4 linked regions of the Arabidopsis thaliana genome follow. The protein of the gene in region 4 interacts with the protein of the main gene of each other region in a pairwise test. Each region holds a gene or a part of one and is shown on either strand. Other genes may lie near its edges. The genes, in order: YLMG2, AT5G62900, AT3G59850 and AT4G16444.

The links.
Region 1: the proteins of AT4G16444 (region 4) and YLMG2 interact in a protein complementation assay, tested with the Arabidopsis thaliana proteins (one large-scale study listed by BioGRID).
Region 2: the proteins of AT4G16444 (region 4) and AT5G62900 interact in a protein complementation assay, tested with the Arabidopsis thaliana proteins (one large-scale study listed by BioGRID).
Region 3: the proteins of AT4G16444 (region 4) and AT3G59850 interact in a protein complementation assay, tested with the Arabidopsis thaliana proteins (one large-scale study listed by BioGRID).

Annotation. Positions count from the first base shown.
Region 1 is NC_003076.8:7,238,497-7,246,044, reverse strand, and holds YLMG2 (YGGT family protein), read left to right. Parts: upstream 1-3,164; 5' UTR 3,165-3,279; coding exon 3,280-3,585; intron 3,586-3,962; coding exon 3,963-4,165; coding exon of another isoform or gene 4,166-4,169; intron 4,170-4,204; exon of another isoform or gene 4,205-4,448; coding exon 4,449-4,695; 3' UTR 4,696-4,844; downstream 4,845-7,548. Other genes in the region: PAA2 (uncharacterized protein), read right to left, coding at 1-68, 360-428, 570-680, 1,049-1,213, 1,302-1,388, 1,509-1,562, 1,649-1,746, 2,119-2,196 and 1 more; AT5G21910 (uncharacterized protein), read right to left, coding at 4,918-5,256; AT5G21900 (RNI-like superfamily protein), read right to left, coding at 5,707-5,829, 5,951-6,106, 6,187-6,262, 6,352-6,513, 6,611-7,047, 7,126-7,548. UniProt on the Arabidopsis thaliana protein: Not required for the biogenesis and accumulation of native cytochrome b6 in the thylakoid membrane. Not functionally involved in the pathway for covalent binding of the c-type heme to cytochrome b6.
Region 2 is NC_003076.8:25,244,898-25,252,169, forward strand, and holds AT5G62900 (basic-leucine zipper transcription factor K), read left to right. Parts: upstream 1-3,792; 5' UTR 3,793-3,974; coding exon 3,975-4,221; intron 4,222-4,478; coding exon 4,479-4,609; intron 4,610-4,720; coding exon 4,721-4,828; 3' UTR 4,829-5,135; downstream 5,136-7,272. Other genes in the region: AT5G62890 (Xanthine/uracil permease family protein), read left to right, coding at 1-48, 175-250, 334-393, 497-681, 844-940, 1,055-1,141, 1,228-1,286, 1,376-1,467 and 2 more; AT5G62910 (RING/U-box superfamily protein), read left to right, coding at 5,933-6,001, 6,098-6,164, 6,271-7,118.
Region 3 is NC_003074.8:22,108,252-22,116,519, reverse strand, and holds AT3G59850 (Pectin lyase-like superfamily protein), read left to right. Parts: upstream 1-4,787; 5' UTR 4,788-4,821; coding exon 4,822-5,382; intron 5,383-5,884; coding exon 5,885-6,174; intron 6,175-6,634; coding exon 6,635-6,863; intron 6,864-6,958; coding exon 6,959-7,177; 3' UTR 7,178-7,417; downstream 7,418-8,268. Other genes in the region: AT3G59870 (uncharacterized protein), read left to right, coding at 24-159.
Region 4 is NC_003075.7:9,271,597-9,279,230, forward strand, and holds AT4G16444 (tail-anchored protein insertion receptor WRB-like protein), read right to left. Parts: upstream 4,852-7,634; 5' UTR 4,663-4,851; intron 4,503-4,662; 5' UTR 4,461-4,502; coding exon 4,350-4,460; intron 4,275-4,349; coding exon 4,195-4,274; intron 4,072-4,194; coding exon 4,001-4,071; intron 3,710-4,000; coding exon 3,639-3,709; intron 3,555-3,638; coding exon 3,473-3,554; intron 3,390-3,472; coding exon 3,340-3,389; intron 3,267-3,339; coding exon 3,195-3,266; 3' UTR 2,842-3,194; downstream 1-2,841. Other genes in the region: AT4G16442 (Uncharacterized protein family (UPF0497)), read right to left, coding at 446-697, 976-1,108, 1,211-1,374; AT4G16447 (uncharacterized protein), read left to right, coding at 7,233-7,610.

The sequences.
Region 1 (7,548 bases), on a different chromosome or scaffold from region 4:
ACGAAGGGTCCAGCTATTGCATCTGCCAGCCTCTGTACAGGAGCTGCATTACCTTGTGCATCCTCAACCTTAAAATTCAGAAAAGAAAGGGTGTGATGAATTAAAGACGCACTACAGAGGAACTGAGGGTTCTGACATGATTTCATTCATACTTTCCCGTATGAAATTAGGTTCAGCTACAAACTTGTAAATGAGTTCTATTTGTAGGATTGTGACTCATTCATGATATTTCTATTTGTTGCTGTCTTTTCTTTTTCTGTTTTCGAGGAGGAAAGTCGGCTACAAATTACATAGATTACTGGCCACACACAATGTAACTTTCATTACATTTCATTGGCTCTAGATTCATAGACACTAACCATTCTGACAATTTTAGATATCGTTGAGTTGGAACCAGTAGAAGAAGCTTTGATCCGTAGAGGGCCATCCTGAAATAGGTAAAGTGAGATTCAGTTATTCAAAAAGATTCATGATCAGTGTATGTAAATCTAACTTAGTAACTGAGCACAGTTAGTTACATAAGTAGCCTTTTAAAAAAATAAACTTTTGTTTAGGTTGCGTATACTTACCCAGTTAATTGTTCCCGCTGAAACTGAGCAGCCTTCTTCTTTAAACACCGGAAGTGACTCTCCTGTCAGCATAGATTCATCTACAACACTTCTTCCAGCTAGGACACTCCCCTATGAAGAAAGTGATTAATTTAACATAATATCACTACTAGAATCAGAACTACTCATTAACCAGTCACAAGGATTATAACCAAGCTATCTTGAGCAAGAAAAAATAATATCCATTATCACGTGCAGAGAAGAATGTGCAATTAAACTGAATCTCAAAAAGAACTGAAAGATCCACATGTTTTTTTCTCAGCACTGATAAATTGAAATAGAACTCCTAAAATTGCAGAATGATGGTTACCAACCATTTAGATAGATTTTCATAACTCTTTTCGGAAACCCACACTATTATCTTTTGCTATGATCAGACAATTCAGCATGGATAAGCAACTAGGGAAATCGTAAGATGTCAGAAAGACAGAAACACTTACATCGACAGGAAATGTCTCACCAGGCAAAACCAATAGCGAGTCTCCAACTCGGATATCATCAACTGACACATTGATGCAAATTGAATCAGAGGAAAGTACAGAATCCACTGGGGTGTTATTGTCTGATGAAGTAATCACAAGTCTTGATTGAGTGGAGATGAGTGACTGCAAAAATACGTTTCAAGTCAAAAAAAAGGGAGGAAAAAGCCTACAAGTTAATCTTGGGAGGAGAATCAAGAAATGTCTAACATACCAATAGTTCATTCATATCGGTAGATGCTTGAAGCTTTGCTCTTTCTTCCAAAGAACGACCAAGGAGCACAAAGCCAAGCAGCATGACCTGCATACTAAATGACAAGAGCTATCAATCAGAAATTTACTATTGAAACTGTATTTTGCATGTAGTGGAAGTAATAATAAAAAGCTTTCATCCTCTTGTGGATCTGCTAGAGAAACTCACCGGTTCATCGAAGAAGGAAGCATCCCACTCCAGTTCTGGATTAACTAGTGAGATCTGCAAAATTCAGAATGCAGAAACTGCAGGTTTTCAGAATAGGATACTCACCAGTCAAATATAAATTACAGGGTACAAAAACTCACCAAACTGATGGAAAATGCAGCCATGGATCCCAATCCAACTAACGAGTTCATATTAGGTGATCTTTTCCCGAAAGCTTTTATGCCATCAAACAGCAATTCTACAATATACATCTATCTGTTTCAGTCATTTGTGTTTCCGAACAGCCTCAAATATCACTACCACCACTTTGTTATGAAAGTCGCAAAGAATAGTAGGAACCATCACTATCACTTAAGAAGTTTGAAAATTCAGAGTTTCTCTCTTATGACAACGACGACTCAATTAAGCTAACCATTATCCATAAGAAGAACTGATTCAACAAAGCTCACCTATATAATCAGAGTAGAACACTAGCACTTATCTAAGTCTAAACAATAGCCTAAGAACGACTACTTTGTCATCTCTCTCTTATGATACTAATTACTAAACTTATTATGCATTAGCTGGTAAGAATCATAGATTCGAACTAAAAGTTTAAACAAAAGCAAACCTCTTCCTGGTCCCAACAAAGCTCCAACGGCCAAACCACCTTTCACGTAAGAGTTGTGTAGCAAATCCCAAATCCCTCCTAGTAACATCAGGTGCAAGAGAAAGTCATAAACTACATCTCTTATCCAACAAATGACATCTAGCATCACAATTTTTTTTGCATTATAATCAATGTACCATGAGCAATGTGAATTCCCAAGGAATGAAGAATATGCGAAGTGTGAGACCCGCAACACAGAGCCACCAATGTCCACGCAAACGCCACACGGTTCCTGCTCTTAACAAGCAAGTCCTCTTTCTTACTTACCATCTCCTTCCACTTCTTCACATTCTCCGCCACTCCCATACCCGAGACTCTCCTCTTAGCCTCAAAACCACTCTCTGTCAATCTCTTAGCTAAACTCTCTGCCGTATCCGCCGTCACCTCAACCTCCGGTTTAAACTTCACAGCCGCGGTTTCAGTCAGCATGTTAACCACAGCAGACGCGACTCGATCATCAGACATCAAAACCGATTTAACTCGGGCGACGCAGCCACCACACATCATCCCACTCACATCGAGGAGAATAGGCGTGTCGCTCGTAATGGATTTCACAGATTCGATTGAAGATTCAGTAGATTCAAATGATTGAGTACTTATCTCGACCGAGTTTGATACTAAAAAAAAAGGTCGCGAACAGTGCCGCCGGATACGAGAACGGCGCAGTCTTGGAAAGCATCGGTTCACGAGGAACTTACTTGGACGAATATGAAGACTCGATGGCGGAGGAAGAGGAAATCGGAGAAGATTGCTCGCCATTTTCTCCGGCGAGACAGACGACGATAGTCACGCGATGTATACAAGTAAGAAACTAGTGGTGGACTGGTGTATGGTTCGTTAAAAAGAGTATCGCTAAACGTTGACACGTCGGATTTGGAATATATCCGAACATTAGCCATTTTTGTGGAATTTTTAAAAAGCCAGGCTGTCACCAGAAAAATCAGAGAGAGACATAAAACGCAAAGTTTTAATAGGTAAGACCTTCTAACTCAGCTAGAGGATTACAGCCCCCGGGACACAGCGATGCCACGTGTCATCTTCCTGAAATATTGTTTTTTGTTTGGAGGTAACTTTATCTTCTCAAGCTTTCTTCTTCTACAACACATCTAGAGCTTTGCAACAATGGAGGCGAGTGCGAATGAACCAGCTATGAAAAGCTTGAAATCCAATCCTTCAGGACCGATACCGAACTTTTTCGTATCGCTCTCTTCGGCATTTACGCAAACACCTCTTGTGCGTTCGAACAAACCCAATTTGCTTCTTCTACCACCAGTTGCAGACTCCGTCAAATTGATTCAAGACTTTCATCAGTCTCTGATTTCTGCTACTGAGAAATTTAAAGGATTCCTCCATTCGCTCGCCTCTAAGAACCCTCTCTTTCAGGAAGCGGTTCGCCTATCTTCCGAATTTCACATTTTGTGCGACGAGGTAACTTCTCTTAGCCTGCTTATGCTAAAGAATGTTATGGATTAAGTTAAGAAGATGATTGTGTGTTTCTCATGAACTTGCCTTGGCTCTGATTGTTACTGTAATGGGTGAATCTTTGTGGTTTCTATTTATACAAAATGGGTCATTCTTTAACAGCCAGTAGATTGTTGTCTAGATCATTTAGCATTTATTGGAAAACCTTCTCACATTGATAACCCTGAGTTATATATGTCCTCAAGTTGGGATCTTTTTTGGTTCTTTTCTTGTAAAGATGAAACTTGGCTTCTGGATAAGTCCGGTTATGATTTTGTGTGCCTTTGCTTCTGGTTTTGGGTTCTTTATGTCTTAAAGATGAAGATCATTTTGTTGCATTGCAGATTCGTTTGAGAAACACTACAAGGGTGAGGTTTGCGATGTCTAATCACGGATTTGCAGCGGTTCTGCCTGGAGATTCAGTTGCAGGATTGGTGGTTGCTAATGGTTTGATCAATTTCCTCAACATATATAACACCATCCTTGTCGTCCGTCTAGTACTCACCTGGTTCCCGAGTGCTCCTCCTGCCATTGTTAACCCCCTCAGGTAAAACGTTGCCTTCAAATGCCACAATGATTTTATATCTTATCCAGGTTTAAAAGTTTTCGATCAATCCATGAAAACAAAATCTAGATCATAGAAGTCCTATTCGTGATTGTTGAAGGTAGTCTTTTTACTTGATTTAGAGGAAATTTATTTTGGATAAACTCTGTCTACTACTTTTTTGTCCAACTCTTAAATGGATTAAAGATTGGTTAAACCCTGATTGATCTGCCCAGGAACCCTAGTTGATTCCTATTTATGTGTATATGCGTTACCATTGTTTCAGCACTTTATGTGATCCATACTTGAACATTTTCCGGGGATTCATACCGCCTCTTGGAGGATTAGATTTGTCTCCCATTTTGGCGTTCCTTGTTCTCAACGCCTTCACCAGCTCGGCTATGGCACTTCCTTGCGAACTCCCGTCAGCTGATGGAGCCGTTTCTCCAGCTTCTAGTGAGACAAAGTGGGTGAGAAGGAGAAGGTTGAGCAGCCACAAAGACCACAGACCGAGCTCAGCTTCTATGACCTGAACCTGTCTAAAATATCTACTCTTTTCTGCGCTTCAAATGTAAAATCTACCTTTCGAGTAATTTTATTACTCTGTATCTTTGGATTTCTGAGTTTTGTATAAATTTTCTTTAGAAAATGAATAAAAGAGTTGTGTTCCTGACATACAGAAATATTGTAAAAATTTTGCAAGAGATGAGCTTTTCTTCTTCATTTGTGGCATCAAAACAACTTTCGCTCAGATTCTAACCAGAGGCTTTGCATATCAAGACGAAAACAAGAAGGATGAGGATGACAAGCAATCCACCAAACGAACCACATAGCCTGTGAATCCAGTAAGGATCAAACCTGGTCAAGCTCGGGTCACTGTACAAGGACAAGGCTATGGCTAAAATCAACAAGAGGAGAAGCAGAGAGAAGGAAAACATAAAGCTGAAGAGTTCTTCTTCCTCTTCTAGATCTTCCTCTGATAATCTGTCGATGTAGAGTGGTGAGAGCACGGCTAGTACCGACAAGCTTATGGCCAAAAGCTTCCTGGAAGTAGTAAACCTCCCCATCATCGGGCTGGATGATCCCGTTTCCATCAGAAAAATGCCAGTACAAAATATATAAAAACAACTGGTAACTTTCTTTACAATCCCCGGTTGGTGTTCATCTGAACTAAAATGGCTTGTTTCTTGGTAAGAATCTGAACACAAGTTGCAGGATTGTTTCAAAAAGCCGTTTAGATGGTATGGTTTAGCTATTTACTCAAAAAGAGAAGAGAGAAAGAAGATTCTTTCGTTTCTGGTGAACAGTTGTGACCACACACTGCTAAAAATATTCCAAGGGATCATATGCTTAAAACTTTTCTTCTCTTTCTATTAGTTCAATCTTTTTACAAAAAGCTGATTCTAAAAGACATTGTAACATTGTTCATATATCACTATCTTTTTTTCTTTACTATGAACCTGTACAACAGCTATAATTTGGTCTAACAATGAAGAAAGGTCATCAATTCAAAGCTATATATACAAACGCCAGTTGTCTACTCATCAGAAGAACTTGGCACCTACACTTGGGTAAAAGTTATCAAGGTGAGCATAGAGTGAAGTCAGTTTCAATCCGGTAATATGAACGTCTGATCTTGAAAGTTCTTCAAGATATGTATCCTCCACCTACAACGATAATACTGTCATTTAAGTACTTTTGACACAGATCACCCCAAGGTTCAATTCAACATAAACAAAAAAAGGCACCAGTGTAACCTGAATTACAGGTTTCTCTATAATATCATACCTGCGTCCATCCAAATAGCTTGAGTGATTGAAGTGACGAGCAACAACGCAAAATCCGTCTTAGGTCATCTTCTTTGAGTCTCCGACACCACGAGAGGTCCAAGAATTGTAACATCTTACAAACTTTGGCAAGCGAAAAAGCAGTCTCTGGACCAACCTGTTAAAAACAAAACTCCTCAAACACTTTCGAAAACCAACTTGAACATGAACAAGACTTTAGGTACTAAAAACACTCACATCTCGGACTTTGTTTAGGCAGAGTTCTCTAAGAGAACCTCCCGAGACTTCAAGAAACGCGGCAATACATTCGTCACTGTCAAAGTAATCCCATACATTGATGATATTCAGAACACTCAACGGATGTTATGTACAAAAAGAACAAATTGGGAGACTTGTACGAACCTAAATCTGTTACTTGTAAGTTTGAGTGATTTCAAATATCTGCAACCCTCAGTAATAAACTCTAATGACTTATCAGTCAATTTATCCAAGTCTGTGATGTCAAGAGCTTCTAGCTTCTTACAATATCTCCCAATATGCCACATGCATTCATCAGTCACCTCACTAGTTACCATTATAGAGAAAGCAAAAAAAACATTAGTTTTCAGCATAAAACTTGGTAATGAATTTGGTATATCAAGGCCTAAAAAGAGTAACTTACTTGCAATTAGCGAGAGATAGATCAGTGAGAATCGAACTACGGAACATAAAGAAACTTCTGACAACACCATCATTAACACTAACGAGTCCCGCAACCGAAAGATAGTTCAATTTCTCGAACTTATACAGGCTGCTACTAAACCCTTTATGCTTTTTAATCCCTTGACATCCACCAATACTAAGCCCTCTAAGAGTTGAACCAAACTTATCAGCAAGAATCCTCAATGCACGATAAGTGAGAAGAGAGCATTCAGTGAGGTTAATATACTGAAGCAGAGGAGATGATTTCGATATCAACAACAATGCATTGTCTGTTAAACAGAACGCTCCTTGAAGAGATAACGTAGTCAATGACGGGAATCCGTTAGGCGCGCGTTTAAAGAACTGGTTTATCGTATAATCCGTCATCGATCTTCCGCAAAGATCAAGAATCAACACCTGCAAAAGATTGAAACTTTCACAAACAAAGATTGCTACCAAAAGTACTTCTTCTATAACAAATGGATTCTAATATACCTTCAAGCTAACTCTATCACAGTCACAGAAGATCTTTACCAAGTCATCCTCCACTAATTGGACACAGTTCTTAGCGCAAATCTCACTCGGAGAATCTTCAATCAAAAGCTCCATAAGACGTGTATCGAATTCACCTAAACCACTAACAAGATACGAGAGCTTCTTCCTCAAGTGATCAGGAACAAGTTTCAAAGACTTGATAGCTAAAAAATTCTGAGCAAGAACTCTCGCACTCAGCTCCACAAGCGAAGGAGCTTTCCTTCGTACATTCAGATCTATCTCCATATCACTTGTTGTAGAGATCTCTTGTCTTCTCTTCTTGATCGATTCTTTAGCTTTTCGAAACTCACTTTTATCTTCATCTCTTATTACTTCTTCTTCTACCTCTTCCTCCGTTTTTTCAACAATCTTGAGATCTGAATG
Region 2 (7,272 bases), on a different chromosome or scaffold from region 4:
CCTGCAGATGATTCTTGGTTTCAGTGGTCTCTGGCGTAATGTTGTTAGGTTAGTCTCGAGGAAAAAATGGTCTCAGACATTCGATTTGCTTACACAGCAATAGATTTCTCAGACATGTCTTCAGAATTACAATGACGATGTGGTGATGTAATTTCTTTTGTATTTCATTTTCAGGTTCTTAAGTCCTATTTCAGCTGTTCCACTGGTGGGTCTCGTTGGTTTTGGGCTGTATGAGTTTGGTTTCCCGGGGGTAAGTCTACTCTATATGAGCACTTACGAGCAGACCAGAAACTCTTATTTCTTTTAGTTGTTGATATCCTTTTTACATTTTAGGTTGCTAAATGCATAGAGATTGGACTGCCTGAGCTTCTTATTCTAGTATTCGTTTCACAGGTAATCTTTTTAACTTACTTACAGATTAATCCTGTCTAACTCCCAAAATCTTTTTTTTTTTTTTAACTTACCTGATTTCATGTGTTCATGTTTCCTGTTACAGTACCTGCCTCATGTGATCAAATCAGGGAAAAATGTGTTTGACCGATTTGCTGTGATATTCGCGGTGGTGATTGTGTGGATCTATGCTCATCTTCTTACAGTTGGTGGGGCCTACAATGGTGCTGCACCAACTACTCAAACAAGTTGCCGGACAGATCGTGCTGGAATCATAGGTGCTGCCCCATGGTAAGTGGTTACAACAAAGCTCAAAATATGTAGCTCCCAAAATACCATTTCCACTAAAAATTTCCAGTTTAAACAGAACAAAAGAACATGAACGAATAGAGTATCAGAAGATAAATGTGATCTCATTGGATTCGTTGTTAACATTAGTTTCTTTGTACTTAGGATAAGAGTTCCATGGCCTTTCCAGTGGGGTGCCCCATCGTTTGATGCTGGAGAAGCTTTTGCAATGATGATGGCTTCTTTTGTTGCTCTAGTTGAGGTCTGTGGTTATCTTCTTCACATTTTAATCTTTCAAAATATAATGATTATGCTCTGTTGTTCTGTTTATTCATTTTGGTTTCTTGTTTATTCTGTGTCTGGCTGATCTTTAAAGTCAACCGGTGCTTTTGTCGCGGTGTCAAGATACGCAAGTGCAACGATGTTGCCACCTTCTATTCTCAGCCGCGGTATTGGCTGGCAGGTAACTCAGCTATACTTGAAGTTATAATGTTGCTGAATCGATATTGAAAGAATTCTGAGGTGATTATGTTTTGTTTTGTGAATCAGGGAGTTGCGATTCTGATATCAGGATTGTTTGGTACTGGTGCTGGTTCCTCTGTCTCTGTGTAAGCATCTCTGAGATTTACATGTTCTGATTTGATTACTTTCTCTGGATATTTTGGTATGAAAGTTGATTTTTCTCTCTTTTGTGCAGAGAAAATGCCGGACTATTGGCCTTGACACGAGTTGGTAGTCGAAGGGTTGTCCAGATAGCTGCAGGCTTCATGATATTCTTCTCTATTCTCGGTTAGTTTTGTTCTATTCTGTTTTTAACAAATAAAAGGAATTACTTTTGTTTGAAATTTTATCTGTACTGATGAGATCCATCCTGTTAATGCAGGAAAATTTGGAGCTGTGTTTGCTTCAATTCCTGCGCCCATCATTGCTGCTTTATACTGTCTCTTCTTCGCATACGTGGGAGCTGGAGGTTTGAGTTTCCTTCAATTCTGCAACTTAAACAGCTTCAGGACCAAGTTCATCTTAGGTTTCTCTGTCTTCCTGGGCTTGTCCATCCCTCAATACTTCAATGAGTACACCGCAATCAAAGGATATGGTCCGGTCCACACTGGGGCTCGTTGGGTATGTAGAACCAAGTCACTGTTATTTTTGCTTCTCTTTCCATTGAAATAGGTTTATGGTAGAATGATCTATTAAGGTCCCTAAAACTCCATAGCAAAGATTCGAGTTTAGCATGGCCTGAACTAATGAAACAATCTTATTCTCTTACATATTTGACAGTTCAACGATATGGTAAATGTCCCGTTCTCCTCAGAGCCTTTTGTTGCTGGAAGCGTCGCCTTCTTCTTGGACAACACACTGCACAAGAAAGACTCTTCGATAAGGAAAGACAGAGGGAAGCATTGGTGGGACAAGTTTAGATCTTTCAAAGGTGACACAAGAAGTGAAGAATTCTACTCTCTACCTTTCAATCTCAACAAGTACTTCCCATCTGTCTAAAAGGGAAGAGAAGAGCAAAAAAGATAACTGGAAAACAAAGAAAATGGTGAAAACTCGAGTTTCGCCATTGTTGACTTGGCCTCTGTGTCGTGGTTCGTTTGTTCAGTTCCTTTCACAACTTTGGAAACTTTAAATATCTCATCACATTCTATAGTCTTATTTACAAGAATGATGAATCTTCTTAAAGAGCATTGTTGTTTACTCTCTCTCTAATGCTTTTGTCTTTGTAAATCCGAGGGAACAGAAACACTACTTTGTGATTTTGATTAGTTTCTAAACAAATCTTTAGCTTAATTTTTCTTTTTATATGTTTCTCACTCCAAAGTCTTGATTTAGAAGCTTAGGAAACCTGATTGGTTGAACTTTAACGAGAATTGACATATAACATTTAATTTCAATAGATAATTACAATTAATTAGTTGTTTTTTCTTATTAATTTGGTCATATGTGTAGAGAAAAAAAAGGGAAAAATGGTCATATAAAATAGAGCGACCTTTCACTCTTGCGTGAGGTTTTTGTTCTCTGATCAATAAAATAGTATAGAGAGACATTAATAAGGCAACTTTTGTATGTTATCATCTAAATTAATGGACACGCAAAAGTTAAGATTACTTTGTTTTGTAAGGCAGATCGATTTAATTCCGTAATTAAGTAAGTTTGTTGAATAATTAACGATTAATACGACACAGGCTTTCAGGAGATCGAGATAAAGTGTACAGTAAGCATGTGAATAAGGTTGATTGCACGAGGGGAATATTATTCTTACTTCATTTTTGGTTGTCATTTTCCTTATTTTAATTTCCACAAAAAGCTCATCATTGCTTAAGAAAAATATGATTTATAAAGTTGCTTTTTATTTAGTTGACAAAAAAAAAATTTGTTTGTTTATTATTCTGCAACTATTGATCTTTACGTATTGAATTGAAAATTTGAATGTTTAAATTATATAACTACAAATGTGTTTTTGATCATTTTTATATTATAAATTATAAACAGCTGCTACATTCTATAATTTGTTAGTTGTAGTATTTACTTAAAACAATACAACTATACTAGGAGAAAAATGAACACAGAACATAAAGTAGGAAATTGGATGAAAGTATTATCTAAATTGTGGTCCAATAGTTTGTGGATACTTTAACTTTAGATGTATGAAGACTATAGACTTTTCCTAGAGATTTATATATAGGTGGTGTATATATACACTGATTTACACATATTAAGTTATGTGTATATCTAAAAAAGATAGTGACTAATTTCTGAAGTAGAGATTTACTATGAATTTCTTCAGAGGTTGAACCTAAGCTAAATGATATAGCATGAACAAGAATTTAAATGTTAATAAATAGATTCGTAGTATCAAAGGCTTAAAGATTTAACTATTATTTTTGCTTGGAATCTACTTTTCGTGAAAGATTCCAGCCAAGCAAACACTTGGGGCTCTGTACGGACACTCTAAAACATAATAATCATTTAAGCAATTACGATCATTATTCTATCTCTTCTTTCTTGTTTGTTTGTTAAATGTTAAACCATTTATCGAATAATGGAGATACATATATAAATAAAACCTCTTCCACACCACTTTTTTTTTTTCCATAGAAACGAAAAATAGTTGATGATGACAAAATGAAATAATAACATGAAAACTTATACTTATAGTTATTGTATAGAAATAAAATGATGAGTATATATAATGAGTAGAGAAACTATTAAATCAGTATAGACCCCTCACCTACGCTTTACTCTTTCACTCCTCTCTCTCCTGCTTTGCTCCGCCGTGAGAGGAGAAACAAATGGGGAATTGTCAAGCGGCGGAGGCGGCAACGACGGTGATACAACAACCAGACGGTAAATCGGTTAGATTTTACTGTACAGTAAACGCGAGCGAAGTGATTAAGTCCCATCCCGGTCACCACGTGGCTCTCCTCCTCTCTTCCGCCGTACCTCACGGTGGCTCTCTCCGCGTCACTCGTATAAAGCTTCTTCGTCCTTCTGATAACCTCTTGCTCGGTCATGTTTATAGACTCATCTCCTCCGAAGGTATATAATATATTAATCACAATTCACACAGAACATGTTTCAGTTTTAAATTCAGGAAAGAACAGAACCCTAACTTATAGGGTTTTCTTCAATTTGTTTCTTCTGCTTCACGTTTGATTACAATCATCATATACGAAGTGTATAAAATTTACAAATCAGAACTAAAAGCTTTAATTTTCAGGATTCTTATCAATTTATTTGTTCTGCTTCACTTTTTGATGTTAAGTCAGTCTTTCTTTTTTGTGTTCTATTAATAGAGGTGATGAAAGGAATAAGAGCCAAGAAATCTGGAAAGATGAAGAAGATTCATGGAGAGTTTTCTGTTGCAGAAGAAGAGATTAACCCACTAACCCTAAGATCTGAATCTGCTTCTGACAAAGACACTCAGGTATTATTATCACATACTACAATTGCTCTGTATCAGATGTTTCAGTTTTAGTTCTCTGATTGAAACGATAGAGTGTTACAAAAGAATAATAGAGTTGGTTTTGATTTACAGAGAAGGATACATGAAAAGCAGAGAGGAATGATGAACACAGGAGGAGCTACCAATAAAGTTAGAGCTTGGCAGCCTTCTCTTCAAAGCATCTCAGAATCTACAAGCTAAAACACTTCAATCCATATTTTTCTATCTTTTTTTCTTACTTTTGACTCTTTTTTTTATCATTTCATTTCTCTTTGTATTGTTGTTTTTCCCAATCAAATTTGTAAAGGAAGAAGACCCATTTGATTGTGGTTGAAGAAGAAGAAACTTTTGTCATTTTTTAACTTTAATAATAATAACTGAAGAAAGAAAGATCCAAAGGATTATTTTCATTTTCTAGATTTCTAGATTTTCTTTTACGTTTTCAATAAATAGTTATGTCATAGATCAAGTTTTACAACTTTTTTTACGTACTTAAAAGATTGATAAAATTGTACTTGTTGTTGTTGACCATTGAAACATTTCCCTTTATTCACTAAAACTAGCTTTTGCAACCTTTTTATTCAACTGTATTGGTTTGTTGTATGTTTTTATTATTCAACTCTATTTAATTATTCATGTAGCTTAACATATCAATAATAACTAACATGCCATAAATTCCGAAGAAGAAAAATTGTTATAAAAGAACTATATGCACCTAACAAAAAACCAACAAAACCATAGTATTTTCTTTTTGGGTTACATAAAAATATCTTTGTATGAAGAAGAAGAAAGAATCATTACACAGCTTTCACTCACAAGATTACAAGTTTGCAAATTGCATATAAGGAAACTCCCAAAAAATATCATCAAAGATCTTTTCAGAACACAAAAAAAAAAAGGTAAAAGTATATCTCTTTTGCCATAGTTAGACTCAAAAATACGACATCGTTTACCTCACACGTGCACACTCACCGACTTACAGAAGAACCCACACGTACGTTGAGGGTACTTTAGTCATTTAGCATCGAACGAAATTGTCTGAGCGGAGAAGAGGAGTTTCCGTTATCCCTTTATATATTATCTCTCTCACCTTTCTTCTCTTTTTCTTTGATTTTTATTAAATCAACAAAAATAGAAAAAAAAACATAAAAATAAAAATAAAAAATCTTCACGTTTCTTCTCTCTCTCTCTCTCTCTCTCTCGAGCCACCAAATCTGAATTAGGGTTTTTGAGAATATTCATCTTTTGATTTCAAATTCTTCACCCACTGTGTAATTTCACTCGTCAGGATTCATCTGCGGAATCATGATTACAGATTCGATCACCAACGCTTCTGCTACTTCAGCTCCGAGAGATTCCGGAAAGAAGAAGAGGGTAACGTTATCCTCTTTGATAAATCTCATTCCTTTCTCTGAAATTGATTCAAAGTTTTGATTTTTAATGGTTTTGTTATTGCATTACGTTTTGCAGAACAATAAGTCGGCTAAGATGAAGCAGAACAAGCTTGGTCTCCGTCGTGAGCAATGGCTTTCTCAAGGTTAAAACTTCATCTTTCTCTCCTTTAATGTTTCAATTCTGCCTGATTCGTTTGGTTAGATTTGGTTGTCTATGTATTGATTTTGGGTTTTTGATTTTGATATTAGTTGCGGTGAGCAATAAGGAAGTTAAAGAGGAGAGGAGTGTTAATCGTAGTCAAAAGCCTCATCATGAGAGTTCAGATAAGGTGCGTAGAGAAGAGGATAACAATGGTGGGAATAATCTTCTTCATCATGAGAGTTTTATGGAGTCACCTTCAAATAGCTCTGTTGGTGGTACATATTCGAGCACTAACTTCAGTGGGAGAAGTAGCAGGAGTAGTAGTAGCAGCAGTGGCTTTTGCTCTGGTAATATAACAGAAGAGGAAAATGTAGACGATGATGATGATGGGTGTGTGGATGATTGGGAAGCTGTTGCTGATGCGTTAGCGGCTGAGGAAGAGATTGAGAAAAAGAGTCGTCCTCTTGAGTCTGTGAAAGAGCAAGTGAGTGTTGGACAATCAGCTTCTAATGTGTGTGATTCGTCGATTAGTGATGCATCAGATGTTGTGGGTGTTGAAGATCCAAAGCAGGAATGCTTGAGAGTGTCATCAAGGAAGCAGACTAGTAATAGAGCTTGGAGGCTAGATGATGACCTTCGCCCACAGGGGTTACCTAATTTGGCGAAGCAGCTTAGTTTTCCGGAGTTAGACAAGCGTTTTAGCTCTGTGGCGATTCCGTCTTCATGTCCCATATGCTACGAAGACTTGGACTTGACGGATTCGAATTTCCTCCCCTGTCCTTGTGGATTTCGGCTCTGTCTGTTCTGCCACAAGACCATTTGCGATGGAGATGGGCGTTGTCCAGGCTGCAGGAAACCCTATGAACGGAATATGGTCAAGGCTGAGACTAGTATTCAAGGTGGTGGTCTAACAATTCGGTTGGCTCGTTCGTCTAGCATGTTTTGCAAGTTTTAAAAGGAGAGGTGCGGTTTTCTCAACCATGTTGTCTTTTGGAACTCGAGAACTTAAGCTCTGTTTTCTATGTCATCTATGGTTCTAAGTCTGAAACACTGTGGTGATGATGTAGAATGTGATGTGTGAATACATAAAAGGTGGTACAGAAAATGAT
Region 3 (8,268 bases), on a different chromosome or scaffold from region 4:
TAAAATGGTGATTGGTTTTGCAGGCTATGTAACATGGATATCATATCACAAGTGCAACAAATCATTTGCTTTGCGTTTCATGATAGTAAGCTTCTCATGGAGACATGTCAAGAAGCTAGAAATCTCCGGAAGATTGTTACCCTCTTCTACCTGGATTGAGTGATTCAGTGTTTCCCACTTCAAAAAACTCTTCTTTGTCTTCTTAGTGTTTTGTTCATCTTCCTCTTCGGAGAAAGACAAGTTCCATTGTAATTAGGAATCGTCGTTTACACATGCACAACCTATTCTTTGGTCTTTCATTTTTTTATTTGCTTTATAGGGGAATCTCTCGATCATTTTTAATACGGTTTGTGGCTAATAAGTTTCGTTACATTGTCTGGCTTCTCTATCACTGTTAACTCGTCTAGTATTAAAAAAAAAAAATCTAAATTACTCGTATTAAGACTAATTTTGACAATAAAATTGTAAACCAGTCTGTAGTAGATGTGGTCTGTGCGCAACTGTGAGAAACGAATACTTGAGATGTGTTAGTTGGACGGTGGAGATTAATCATCTTATGGGCCGCGCCTGTTTGGTTTATTTCTTTGGCCGTAAGAAACGCATTCTAATTGAAGCTAAACGAAGATATTCCTAGGTCTTTTAATACAAACAATAATAACGAAACATATAGACTAGGGTATACTTTAAGTTTTTAACTACCAAATAACAGTTGCCTAAATTTTGGTCAATACTTTTGTTGATTATACATATCAAATCCAATTTGGTTTTAGAAAAAGCAATTGTATCCTATCATTTGCTCATTTGTTTTCATATCGTAATGTAAATTTTATAGTAAAGTTTCTGATTAAGTATTTGACTAAAAAAACTATCCTAAATATTAGTTTCTTTTTAGGGTAATTTGCAGGCCACACCCTTTGACCATGTTTTATTTTCAGGGATTGGCTAAGTCAAATGTGGTTTTCACGTTTTGTCTTTTCAGCTGAAATTTGACCATTTTACCCTTGCTGCTACAGTTGAGAAACTATTGAATGTACGGTTTAGTTAGGTACACTGTTCCGGTTTAGTTGGAGATATTTTTGTTTCACTTTGAGAAGTGCGGCTGTACAGCTAGAAGGGAGATTTTTTCCTTTAAAAACTAAATGACATCAACATTTAATGGCTCAAAAAGTTTAAACGTGACTCTTGTCACAATTAATGCAAAATCATCATTACATGTTATAATATTATAAAATTATTGATAATAATTGTTGAGTTAAAGATGAACCCATAAACAAACATTAATTGCGAACGTACATTGATGTTGAAGATGTGTTGATCTTGTTTATTTACGAAATTTGGGGCCAAGACAAGCATTATCGTGTAAGTAATGAAGTTTTAAAGATTTGTTTTGTTATAATACACTATGATCTTCATTGTGTTCGAAATCAATTTTGTTTTTTATAAAAAAATCCAGAATTTTTTTATTTCTAATTTTGTTGGTTGAAAATGGTAAATGTATAGATATTTATGTTTATAAGTGTGTATAACGAAATTCTATTTGTTTTTGTCGATATAATCATATTTTCAGTTGCATTTATTGGGTTTCTCCTGAATTTATGATACAGTTGGGTAATGGATAATCTCGTATTTACTATGGTCGGTGAGTGGAGATGCAAAGAAGAAAAATGGAAATTTGAACCAGAGGAAGACATGTTTGGTCGTTGTGTACGTGTTAAGGAAAACATGACGTACACGGAATTTGTATGTACACTAAGCGAGACTTTCAGTTTGAAGTCCATAGAGATCAATCCCATGATTAGTTACTGGATACCGGGAGTGATGTTAGTTATGTAGATACTAAACGCCCTCCTGTCTACATTGACAGTCAAGTGAGGGTGGGATACGATTTTTTTTATTCGTGGTGGGTATCCTTCTCTCAACTTGTTTGTCTCTTTCATTACAACCGTCAATACACTCGGAAATAATGTCTCTAGGACTCATGGTGACGATGCTGAAAGTGACTGTGTGTGTGATAGTGTTTTAATGTTGATGAAAATAATGAGACCGTAGATTAGCAAGACGACATTGAAGACGATAAAACAGATGAGGATGAAGATGAGAGGACAACGAAGATGGTGATGGGTATGATGATTATCAGGGTGACGATGGATCTATGGGGGAAGTACCATCGATCCTACTATTGATGGTAGTGAAAGTAGTGGCGAAGATTATGATTACAACAAGTGGAACGATGAAATTGTAGAAGAATATGGAATAGGGAATGTTGAGGAGAACGTCATTCTCACACAGCTGACTGTTCAACATCCAAGGGAATTCAGTCTTCTGTTGGCAGAGTGTACGTAGACAAGTCAGTGTGTACCTGGCGGAGATAACATTTCTCACCCGGGTGACCGTACACCAGTTGTGACTCCAAGAAGTATTTGTCAACATGGTTTGTACCAATGTACGTACAATATAGATTGGAGAGTGTTTTTAAGAACAGAAAAGTCATACAACAAACAATGTCTTATCTCGCAATCAAACAATTTTTTTGCTATAAGCAACCTAGGTCATATCCTACAAGATTGGTGATGATATGCGTTGATGATACTTGTCTATGACATTTGACTGCTCAAGTCGTCAAGAATTCAGAATGTTTCAAAATCACATCGTATGAACGTCTTAGAATATATCTCGCCCACTGTCAATATTGGTTTAATATTGTATCAATAAAATTTTCTTAGTAATTTAATTTACAAACAAAGATGTACGTATATTATTACACATGTACATACATTAATTTATCAACAAAAATATACGTACATTATTACACATATACGTACATAACTTTCAATATGAGGAACAAATATTATTTCACCATCTATTTCTATTTAATTATTATGTATGTATGGAGATTATTGAGATATAAGAATACGTAATAAAATAGCTTTAGTTATTAGAAATTGTACCATATACATTCGACTAAATAATTTTGTGTACGTACACTGTAAATTGAATATACGTACACAGAAGAAATTTAATGAAGGGTATAATTATAATTTTCCAGTCATTTTTAACCTGTGTATCCTTTTCTGCAAACCTAATTTTGCGGTCATCTTTAGCAGTTTTCTCAAAATCTCATTTTTTTATACGTTTTAATTACTATTTATATATAAATCTTGTAAATATAGAGTATCTTTAGTTTAAAAAGCTAAATTGTTTGAATCTGTGATTTTTTTTTGCATTTTGTTCATCTCTGAAAACAAGAAATTTCTTCCTCAATTTTAGAGTTCAATGGAGAGATGTCGAAATATGAAGAAGTAGATAATGAAGTTTGAACTTCTCTCTACTTCTCTTTCAAATCTCTCCATCTCTTTCTCTTCCTCTTTTTCTTCTTCTTCGCTTTCTTCATTTCAGTTTTTTTTTCTTTTTTTTCAAAACTGAACCATAGAAACTAAACCAAAACCAACTGGTGTGAGGTTTGGTTGATCCCATTAAAAATATTTTGGTCCAAAAACCATTCAAAAGACAAACGGTGAAAACCACATCTCACTTTACCAAATCATGAGAACAATTTTTTTTTCAGCCACTTCTGTGAAAATTTCTTTTTTTTCTATCTTCTACAATGTAGGTCTTTCTAGTCTCTCCCTCTATCCTTAAGCCACCGATCATTTTTAGCCTACTAAAATCAACTTAAGATCGAGGTCTCTATTCTCTACCTAACTTTAGGCCACCGATTGTTTTAGCCAACTAAATTTACCCTAAGAGTTATTTTCTGAACGCTAAAGACGATGGAACATTACAAGGATATCCTTCTTCTTATGGTTTAGTTTCAGCATACACTACTTTCATTCGATATTTATATTACATTTCGTGATCCTATTAACACGGCATGCGGCAATAAATGCGTTGTGTTTAACAAACATCACATTTTTCTGAATTGTTGGCCATGCATGTGATTGTGAATATGATTATCATCCTATCAAAATATTTACTTACGATATTATTGGTCAATTTCTTCTCCGTTTTATCCTCCACTTGTCACGTTTCCCACTCATGTTTGGTTCCGTATGACCCGTACATTATTTCTCCTTTAATTGCTTACTTTATTAAATATATATGCATGGATCCGTAAATTCCTTGCCTTGCTTTTAATTATTAGGATCGTGTAACGTTTTTATCGATAATTAAAGCTAAATCGGTTACTACCAATTGTAGTCGTCACATGCATTGATCTTATGCTCCCTACCATCAACATGCACTGCCCCTGACCATTCCACTTGCTTTTTCAGTTATCATATATTTGAATACAACATAGATGATTTTATGTCGAAACACATTCGAGTTCTAATCCTAAGAAATTTCAATGCGTAAATTTTCATGAGTTGATTGTATCCGAATGCTTACGAGTTAGCGTTGATTTTTGTTTTGATTCAGAAAATATGAATGTTTGGTTTTGCTTTTTTTTTGAGGATTTAAAAAAAAAAAAAACAGACAAAACTATTTTGTATACACTTACATGAATTAGATAATATTACTATATGAAATATTTATAGAGATTAATTCATGTAATATGATACAAACAATTTAAACGATCATTTAGTCACAGTAAATCTATAAATAAACAATCTGATTTTTCAGCATATAGAGTTCATGATAAACGATATAAACCCACAATAGACACAAACTTCTAAAACTCAAATCTACCACTTGCAATATTTTGAAATTTGACAAAACACTCGAATAAACTATTTAAGAAAATATACTACTGTACATATCAAATTTTATTCTTCAGATCTAAGGTTTCGTTGATATGATAATATAGAAAATAACAAGAGAAAAATGTTAATCAACAAAAAACAATCCATTTCACAAATACGCAAATACTATATATACCTTACACTAAACCGTTTCAAATCCCACACACCCATCACCACTTTTCAACTTCTCCCTCTATCTCTCACTTTCAAAGCAATGCATTCTTCACTTCTCATAGTTCTCCTCTTTCTCCTCTCGGTCTCATCTTCCTCAGCTCAAACCTACAATATCCTCTCTTACGGAGCCAAACCCGACGGCAAAACCGACTCGACCAAGGCCTTTACCGTCCTGTGGGCCAAAGCATGTGCATCGGTCAAACCGGTCACCATTTTGGTACCTAAGGGACGGTTTTTGTTAAGAAGCATTATTTTTGACGGTTCCAAGTGTAAACGCAAGTCCGTCACGTTCCGTATCCAAGGTACACTTGTGGCTCCATCGGATTATCGAGTCATCGGTAAAGAAAACTATTGGATTTTGTTCCAGCATCTCGACGGCATCTCTGTCTACGGCGGAGTTCTTGACGCCCAGGGAGCTTCTCTATGGTCTTGCAAAAAGTCCGGCAAGAATTGCCCGAGTGGCGCCACGGTAAGAACTTACCATTTTAACGTCTTGATGTTATTTGTGAATTATGCATTTATAATTTTAAATTATGCCAACCTACAAAATATTGTTGCCATAGAAATTCTAATCAATAAGTAGGGAAAATGGTAAAAAAATTGTTACATGTATAAAAGTCCATCAATTTTGTCTTATTGTTAAACTTATATTGTTGAAATCATTTAAAAGCATTTTCTTAGTAGGTATATTTTGAAAATGAATTATCGCCGTTTTATCGATGCGCTTCCGCAAATTCCGCTAGCACGATCCAAATGATGCATTTTCCGCAATTTTTTCTCCATTTTTCTGCTAACATAGAGTTACATTCATATAAATATTATGTGTCGTTGACTTCTCACGTTAATTAACGTAGAATCCTCATTCACATGTACCAATCATAGAGTCATTGATTTAGTGATAATCTTTATTATATACTTCCTATTGTTTTCGGATAAATGAAATTGACACGTGAGCAACAAATTGCAAACAGAGCATAGGGTTTCAGAGCTCACGCAACGTGGTGATCTCCGGGCTGACGTCACTTAACAGTCAGATGTTTCACGTCGCGATTAACGGCTGCAGTAACGTAAAGCTCGACGGAGTCAAAGTTTCTGCAGACGGAAACAGTCCAAACACTGATGGGATCCACGTGCAGTCATCATCTACCGTCTCCATCCTCAACTCCAAAATCTCCACCGGCGATGATTGTGTCTCCATCGGTCCCGGCACTAACGGCCTCTGGATCGAGAATGTCGCTTGTGGCCCTGGCCATGGGATCAGGTATTGAATTATTAATTTAATTACTTGTAACTTCATTTTTATCTTTCCATTATTTTTAGTTTTTATAAGGTTTTTTTTCTTTCACTTTTGGTTTATATGAATTATAGTAAACAAGTTAAAGCCGACACTAGTTTATATAGGGTTGACACGGTTTATCCGTTTATGAATTAGTAATCAACACAACTACAAAGAGAGAACAATGTTTTGTTAATTTGTTCCAATTCATTCATTTTCAGTTTCATGTATTTCTAATAGTTAGAAAAATATATTTGTCAATGTCACACAGTGGCACTAGATTAGTTCAGTTTATCAATTTATTTGTTGTGTTCTTTTTTTTTGGTTATAAAATGTCAATTATTTTAATTTTATTATACTGTAACAGTAACTGGTTTTTGGTTCACTTTCTAGTGATCATTTTCTTTTATTTATCCACATCAATCATTTTTATATTTTGGTACAGCATTGGAAGCTTGGGAAAAGAAAGTGTGGAGGTAGGTGTACAAAACATAACAGTGAAAACGGCGACGTTTACAGGAACAGAGAATGGGGTGAGAATAAAGTCATGGGCCAGGCCCAGTAATGGATTTGCTAAGAATATCCGTTTCCAGCATTGTGTTATGAACAACGTACAAAACCCAATCGTCATTGACCAAAACTACTGCCCTGGCAACGAAAATTGCCCTAATCAGGTCCACATTTTTCTCAAAACATATTAAACGTCACATAAAAAGCTATTCTTAATTTAGATATTAATTGGTTTATATATGATTGATATGAATGATAGGTTTCTGGGATAAAAATCAGCGATGTAATGTTCTTCGATATACACGGGACATCGGCGACGGAAGTTGGAGTGAAATTAGACTGTAGCTCTAAGAAGCCGTGCACGGGAATTCGAATTCAAGATGTGAAGTTGACGTACCGGAATAAACCAGCAACAACAGATTGTAGTCACGCTGGAGGTAGTGAGGCAGGATTTCAACGGCCCAACAGTTGTCTATGACCAGAAAAGAAAAATATTTGTCTTCTTTTTGTTAGTAGTGTAATTGTAAGTAACGTCGTATTTTCATATATATTACGGCTTTATTCCTGGAGGGTTGGAATACGTGAAATTATGGTCTAGTATTTTCGCAAAATCAATTTCTAATGATGCTATTTGTTATGCATTAGTCAATGCGGACTAACCAATGATTATGAACGTAGGTGGATATTTAAAATGAATGGGAATTGTGTTTAATAAAACGAATCAAATCGATAAATTGTACATCATAATGCCTATAGCCTAAGCCTAATATAGTATTATCAGCTATATAAATGAATTACGTGTAAACAATGTTGTCTAAGTAAATCGAAATGTTACAAATCCAATATATAAAAGCAAAATTTAAGGATATAATTGGACGGAGACGGTGAGAGATATTTCATCTAGCTAATACTAAGAACATTTACATTGGTTATTAGTCGTGCAATCTAAGAACATGAGTATATAAAAAATAAAGTAACATATGTTCAATCGAATTTATTTCAACTAATTTATTATTTTTGAAAAAAATAAGTGACATGTGTAAGATGAATTTCTTATTAAGTACCACAATGAATCGTGGCAGCACATTGTTGAATATTAGAGAGTTTAGGGTCTAAACAAAAGCAAAAGTGAGTCTTGGTGGCCCTCTATCGAAAACTCCGTTAATCTGTAATGCCCGATTTGAGTTGGTCTTGGCTTGGAAATGATACATGTGACGCCATATAATGCTGCGTATGGCAACTCGTCGTAGGTACTCCAGGGTTTTGGGACGCACATCACGGTCAGTCATCCACATGAAAGACTTCTAAAGACGCATCTTGGAGTTTCAGATTCATCGAAGCGCAAGATCCAAGTTGAATATTTCATGTAGCTTAGAGAATAATTCTGTGTAACATGAAACTCATGAATTGCAATACAGGTCGCATTGCTCTTACTGTTGCAGGAGCCTCTTTTATTGCAGGGAGCTATCTTTCTTTAACAATTGGCAGTCTCTCCCTCAGCTGTTAAACCAGTAACCTTAACATACCTCGTCAAACTCTACTAGACTAATAATAAATTATGTATCAATG
Region 4 (7,634 bases):
TGGTGTCGGAGAAGCTGAGGGTATCGGAAAACTAGAACGGCGTCGAAAGGTGCTTTCTTCCTCTATTGGTTCTAAAATTGCAAACTGGGGTCTCAAATTACCTAAAAGGGGTTGAAAAAGTCAAAAATGTAAATTGCATAGCGGGCCTAGTAATAATCTTATTGTGTAAGGGCCTAAATGCAAATAGAGAAGCAATAGAGGTCGGTGACACAATGAGGGTGATGCTTTGCTCAACAATAAGTCAATAACCTTGGTCTCGTTTTTTATCACAGCATATGGCACATTGACACAGAACATCAATAGTCTAGTTTTACATATTGTTTGTCACATATAACATCATCAAGAAGAAGAAGAAGAAGAACCAACAAGAGCCTACACTTTTGTTACTATATGTTTTTTTAACAACAACATTTTCAACACTACTAAAGACAAAGCCGCATTCACTTCACCACGGCGTGGTTCTGCGGTCTTTGGTGGCACCGTACAAGCGGAAGAGACTAAAAGCAGAAATGCAGGAGACGAAAACCATAGCAATGGAGGCTAACAAGGCGCTAGAGACTCCTATAGCCATTTGGTTGCAGAACTTTCCATACATAGTACACACTCTCATCCATTGCAAATCTTCCTCTCCTTCCCTAGCAATCACACCAGACTCTGCTGTTGCTGCAATGGCTGCCACATTCAAGTACGCCATCGCCTGCTCATTCAAAATCACAACTACACTCTTAAATGGCCAACGAAACTTCAATTCCAAATGCAAGCAAACAAGCAACATTCCTACCTAAGTTAATTCAATTCTGATATCCAACCAAACCCATTTAATGCTTAGAGACTTTTCAACATAGTACCCTACTTTTCTCTAATTTGACCTGAGATCTCAAAATAACAAAGCCAAACCCCAAAAATCCCACATCCAATTCACTAATTTTGGCAAACAAAATGTATGTAAAAAGAGAAACACAAACTAAAACTCACCTGATCACCAGAGAAAAAGGCCCAAGCAAGAGGCTTACTAAACAAAACCTTTCCTTTCATCGTACCCACCACGCAACGAACTGATTGCAACAAAGAATAAACCGCAGCTATCCCATTAGCCACCACCAAGAACCTGCATCAATCAATCCCAACAATAACAACAAAAAAGTTACAAACTTTGCAATCTATCTCAAGTCAAAGTACTAAATCCGAAATGGGTTTATGATAAGCTTACACAACCGCCTTCATGTCCGTGTACTTGGCCGTCTTCTTGATAGTGAAGATAAGCTTGACCTCAGTGTCTGTCACAACTAGAATAAGCGCGAGGAGAGCGAAGACACTGATGGAGCACCGTAAGAGCAGCTCCGTTAACCTCATTCTTCGATCTATTAACTTCATCTTGCTTCTGTATCCTCCAGGACAGATTTCGGCCCCCAAAATAAACTCACTTGTACTCTTAAAAATCCGATTTTGGACAAGACAAGAAGACAGGTTCCGTAGAGAGACTAAAGAGAAATAGTGTCCACACTCGGCTTAAGGCTTTAAATAGAGAGTTCCATGCTTTTACTTCACATCGCTTGGGTCCTTAGGCTTTTATTGAAAAATATCACCAAAATTGAAACTGTGTTAACGAATAAGTTTGCTACTAGTTTTGTGTAAATTAAGGCTGGACAAATTAGTTTCTAGATTCAACTAGTTACTAAAAGACCAACATATGAAGTGAAGTGTTATTAGTTATTGTTATCATTTTTACTATTATTACCACCGTCTTCATTTTTCACTTTTTACTATTTGAAGGAAAAAACAATAGATGAATTCACTGAATAGTTCATAATGAAAATACTTTTTTTTTTTCGTTTCTTAAAAACTTATGGTTTTTTTCGTTTTTAGTCTTTTAGAGGAGAAAATTGGATATTTGAAACTTTTCTAGGAATTCAACTTTCTCTTAAGTAAAAGTGTAAAACGGATCACATAATTTAGATATCCTACAAATACGGATACTTATTTCTTACATGAAATTTATAGTAAACCAATTATATCTTCACAATGATCTCATTTTGTCGTGACTTCTTGTTTTAGAGTAAACTTTTAATATGCTATTGAATTAGGGGTGATAGAGAGACACAGAAACATAGTCCCTAAATCTGCCAAGTGGTAGAAAAGTTCTTGTAGACGTTACTACGTATATTATTATGAGATGCATTGAATTGAAATGTGCATGGGTTCTGATCACAAACCCAAAACACAACATTTTTCTAACATCCCCCCTCCCTTAAAGACGAAAGTGAGATATCACAATGACCTTTAGGATTAATTAAATTACAATGCTCCATATTTGTCTTTTAATGTTCTAGGAAAATGGAGAGAAGAAGAAGAAGAAGAAGAGAAGATTGTTATCTATCCCGAGGAGATTATTAAATTATTAAGATGGGACTTTGGATGCCCACATACACAACTATTTAATGAACCTTCTTCTTATTTATTGCACTTCCCATCTCCCAATTAGCCCCTCTAACCAAACCCTTTTCTTTGGTTCTGTCTTATTAACTCTTACTAATAGGCTTAACCAAATCCAATCAAGTTCTTTGATTTAGAAAGACAAGTGTAGATGATGTGACACGTGCACGTTCCTTTCAAACCAAACAAGATACTATGATTTAAATTGTTTTCCTTAATTAAGTAATGTGGTGGTTGGAAGTGGATATTATAATGCCCTCGAATTAATTGCTAAAAAGATTCTCCCATTAAACTTTAGTGCCTTCACCAAGCTACCCACTTTTAATAATAGTAAGTATTTTTATTTCTCTCTTCCATTTTCGGTGATATAATGCTACATCTTAATGAACCACATGCATTGGCATCGTGTTGAATAAGTACACGCGTCTTTAGAATCTGATTTTACAAAGTCGGTGTTACAAGATAAAAATTGACAACACGTAGAGGAATAGAGACAATGTGTTTGTTATGGTGTATATATACACATTGGGTAAATATTGGGGCTGCTTCTACGGTAACAACCTGCTCAACTCTCAAAAACGAACTACTTGTTATTGGTAAAATCCAACAAACAACCAGAGAAAAAGAGTCATATAAATATACATTGTTAAGGAAGATTAGGAACAAAAAGAGAAGCACAATTTCTGCCACAAGTGTCTCCTAAAAGGCTACAACTTTGAACTCAAAAACCATCCAATCTTCACTCTTTTCAGGGATGCGATTTAGAACTCCACGAACCTACACACATATTTGCTCACTCTGTTTGAGAGTATGAGCCACGGTATGATCCCGACCTGCATTTTTACCCAACCAACACTCTCAATCAAGAACAAGCCCAAATAAATGGATTGAGAAGAAGGAACTTACCATTACATGGCCTGTCATGTGACCTCCTGTTCCCCAAGATAACAAAGTCCCTGTGAAACACACCACATTCATTTTTTTCCTATGTGTTATATACCATAAGCGAGCTTTAACCTGGTAAAAGTAAACTACTCACCAAACGGTTGAACAAGTTGCTTAGCGATAATGGCAATTGGAGTCCTCCAGAAGCACAATACCAAGATTAGGTATATCACAACCTAGAAACAAAGTTCTTAGCACATCTCGATTAAGGAGTTTTAGACGGAAAAAAAGAAGAAGCTTGAGCACACAAACTAAGCTACCTTCGAAGCAAGCAGACCCTTCCCATACATATCGTATGAAAGCTTGATTTCTTTGTGATGCTGCTCCAGATCTAAAATTTCAAAATGAGAATTAACAAATACACACACACACCAATACTACACCATGATGATGCAGTGCTTTAGTAGGAATATCTGCTACCAGATAGTATTCATGTTTAAAGCTAACTAACTGTTGCATCATATTTCTGAATTTCATGAACTCTACACTCACAAAGCAATCAATCATATTTCTGAATTTCATGATCTCTACACTCACTAAGCAATCAATCATATTTCTGAATTTCATGAACTCTACGCTCACTAAGCAATCAATGTAGAACTAATAATGTATGCATACTCACATTGTGCAAGTTCTTTCTCTTTAGTAGCTGCTGACCTCCTAAGTTTCGCTGCTTGCGCAAATGTGGCTGGCCTGCAAGTAAACAATAGATAAATCTCTAATCAACAACACTCATATATATATTTTTCAACAACTGCACCTTCCTTAACTCAAATCACTAGAACCAAAACAAAATGTGACAACAAAATGGCTTACTGAGACAATGCACTAGCCTCTCTCAAAAGCTGCTTAATTTCGGTTCGCAGCTCTGATTCCCTCGTGTTCTTCGACCCTTTCTGAAGAAATTCCATAATTCAAAACGATGATTCATGTGGATATGAAAAAAAGCCAAAAAGTATTATCTTTTTTACCTTCTTCAATTGGTCAAGCCACTTGGATAGCAATTGGAAGACAACGACGACGACGAAGGTCAGAGGAGCAGCCAAAAAGCCGCGATCTTCTATAAGCTTCTCTCCTTCCATTAACCCTTTTGCTGATTACTGATTCTAACGTAATTCACCAATCTGCTCGAACAATTCATAACTCAGTACCATTCAGATCAACAAAATAAAAGCCTTAATTGAATCCATCATGTTCTGGATAAACATATCATCTAATCAATGGAGGAGGAAAAGATTCTAGTGCATATAGAATGAGATCGTCGTGAGTATGATCGGAACTTACAATCTCCGTCGTGGATTCACAGAAATTTGAAGCCTTCAAGCCGAGGTTAACGTCTGAAATTGAACGAACGATGGGAATTTAGAATTGGCCTGAATCTGTAAAAGAGGAGGGTTCTGATTTTGATAAAACAAAAGTTTCTACTCGTTTCGTGAAATAAATAAAACTCAAGCCCTTATGTGTAAACAACAATAACTAAACCCTTTTTCAACAGGCTCTATTGGGCTTCGTTGAAATAAAGAAACGGCCCATTAAATTAAAACTAAACCGCTTGTTTATTTTCTTTAAAATTTCATTAAGCTTGGGTATACATGAGTACATGTGAAAAGAAACAACAACTAGGCTACAAGTTTCAGTCAACAGTAAAAGTATCCAAATTTAGAATGAATAGGATAAAAATAGATATAAATAGTAGAGATGTAGTAAAACTACAAAATGGAGGGTAAGAAATTAGAAATGTGAAAATTTAACAAACATAATGTATTCTTTTTACGTGGAGTGGTTGTAATGGTTTTACCAGAAATGGCACGCGTTGTCTCTAATCTTTCTCAACTAATCTAAAGACACTATATGTTTTGTCTCATCCGATCCCACTTAATTATGTTAATCATCTATCTAATTGGGGTTATCACCAAATCAGAGCATTATCGATAACATCGCAGATACCGAAGCTGAAAAAAGGAAGAAAAACAATGTAAGTCCAAATCCTAAACGTCGTAGCATCTTCAGCTTTCGTGTATGCATGCCATTATATTCCAATTACTTGACGACAAACTTTTGCTCCCACCACTTTTGATGTGCCTTTCAAACTTTGTATCCCCATTGTCCACTTCCTCTTTCTTTCAACCCGCTCCGTTTTGTAGCTATACTGTCTCACTTTTTTTCGTTGTTAGAGGTGTAACAATAAATTTACCAATTTAATCTAATATATCATTTCATTTGTAATGATATCAACATTCTTATCTAATATCAACAATCAAGAGTGATACATTATAAAGGCATTTGACATTTGTATATATTGGTGAATATATGTGAGATAAGTTTTGTACCTTGTGGACCAATTAATGTGGGGAGTTTGCAGAATCCGACTATGAAGTGAAACTCAAAATGCACACATGTGGTTTAGAATTGTATCAGAAAATTTTACATTATATGGGTGTTAAGAATTATATGTACTGCAATTATTATATATATCAAACACAACTAATATCTATTATATAAGATTATCACGATAGGAAATATATAAGTTTGCATCGGCTTTGCATTGAACACATATATTAATTGATACGTATATAGTATTCTACTTTTTTATAAATTAATCTTTTCGATCCCTAAATTAGTAAAAATATGATAATGTACATGCATGGATGTTTTCATTATGGGAAGGGAGCGTAGAGTAGCATTTTGATCGAGAGAAAACGAGGAGATCGAGAGAGAATGTCTTGTGTAAAAATGAGTGGTCTTTTTCACAATTATTTATCAATCAAAACACATCTCATACATATATGTTGATATCATTATTCCCTAGTCTATTGAACTCCATTTGTCTTTTTATCAATAGATAGGCCCACTTTTTATATACTTTTTCCTCCTTGCCAAATCATAAGAAGTTAAAACTTAAAAGTGGATCAACTAATTTATAGAAACCATTAACAACTTTTGACACTCTTCTTTAATGTGTGTTTCATTTTTAATTGAATGCCAATAATATAACTTTAAATTCCACTGAGAAGATTTGACGTAGAGACAAAGAAGTGGCTCCAATTCACCATCTCCCAAGCCACCAAAATCTCTCCTAAACCCTTTTGTCACTCCCTTTTCTCATATTCACTTTTTTTCCAAGGAATATTTAAAACCTCATGCAAGTTTTCTTGAATATAACAACATACGAATATGATCTTTGATTAGATTACTCTTTTATATATTATGGTTAGGCATGTCCTTGCAAGATTTTTGTATTTAACATATTGAAAATTTATCATTGAATTACAACTCTGTTATGCATACAATCAAATCAAACGTTTAAGAAGACCATCCCTTATATATATTTATATACACCCTATATTCTCGGGATGTAATAAAGTTTCCATTTCAAATAAAAAGAGCCCTTAAAGGGAGGTAAGTGGGGGGCATGAAAAAAGGGTTTATATATCTCAATAATCATCCAAACAAACCAATCCATGTGCTTCCCTTCAAACATTCTTCTTGTCATTTTCCTCCCAACCATTTTCTACTTTGGCCAACTTTTTTTCTTTTGCTTCTTAAAAATAAAAATAAAAATATGCAAATTTCCACTCACACATTATACATTCTCTTTTTACAATCCTTAGATTGTCACTTTTGCCTTCTTCCTCTTGTTCTCTTACCACTTTACTCCTGATTCTCTTCCTTTCGGAATTTCATCGAACTACTCAACAACCCTATATACTTTTATTGTTTTTAAAGTATTCTCATGCAGATTAAATAATAAGAAATAATATACACCTTTTTCCTCCTTATATAAATAGGCTCAACACACGTAACATGGCCCCAAACCCTAGCAAGACTCTCTCTAAGACTCATATCATTACGTCATGAGTTCAATAGCAAGAGACCGAAAGGAACAAATGGTGATCCATTCTTCAATCGTCTTGCTTCAAGAAAGATTCAGACAACTTCAGAGAGCAAGAGAGTTAAGAGCTGAACGAGAGCTCCTAAACCCTAAACCTAACCACCAAGACAACATCTTGCAATATTACAGCGAACCCACTAGTTTCGGTTTCTTTCAGTTTCTACCTATAAACTCTCAAACATCTTCGTCACAGCAGCTCCTATCCCTCTCCTTATGCTCACACTCCACCTCTGAATCCATTGAAAAGCCAAGCTTTTGTCATCAGTGGCCAAATAAAGATGACAAGAAGATGGGTGGGATTGATCGATACGACGATGTTGACACGTCTCTGCATCTCTAAAACTAAAATAATTGTTCCTCCATC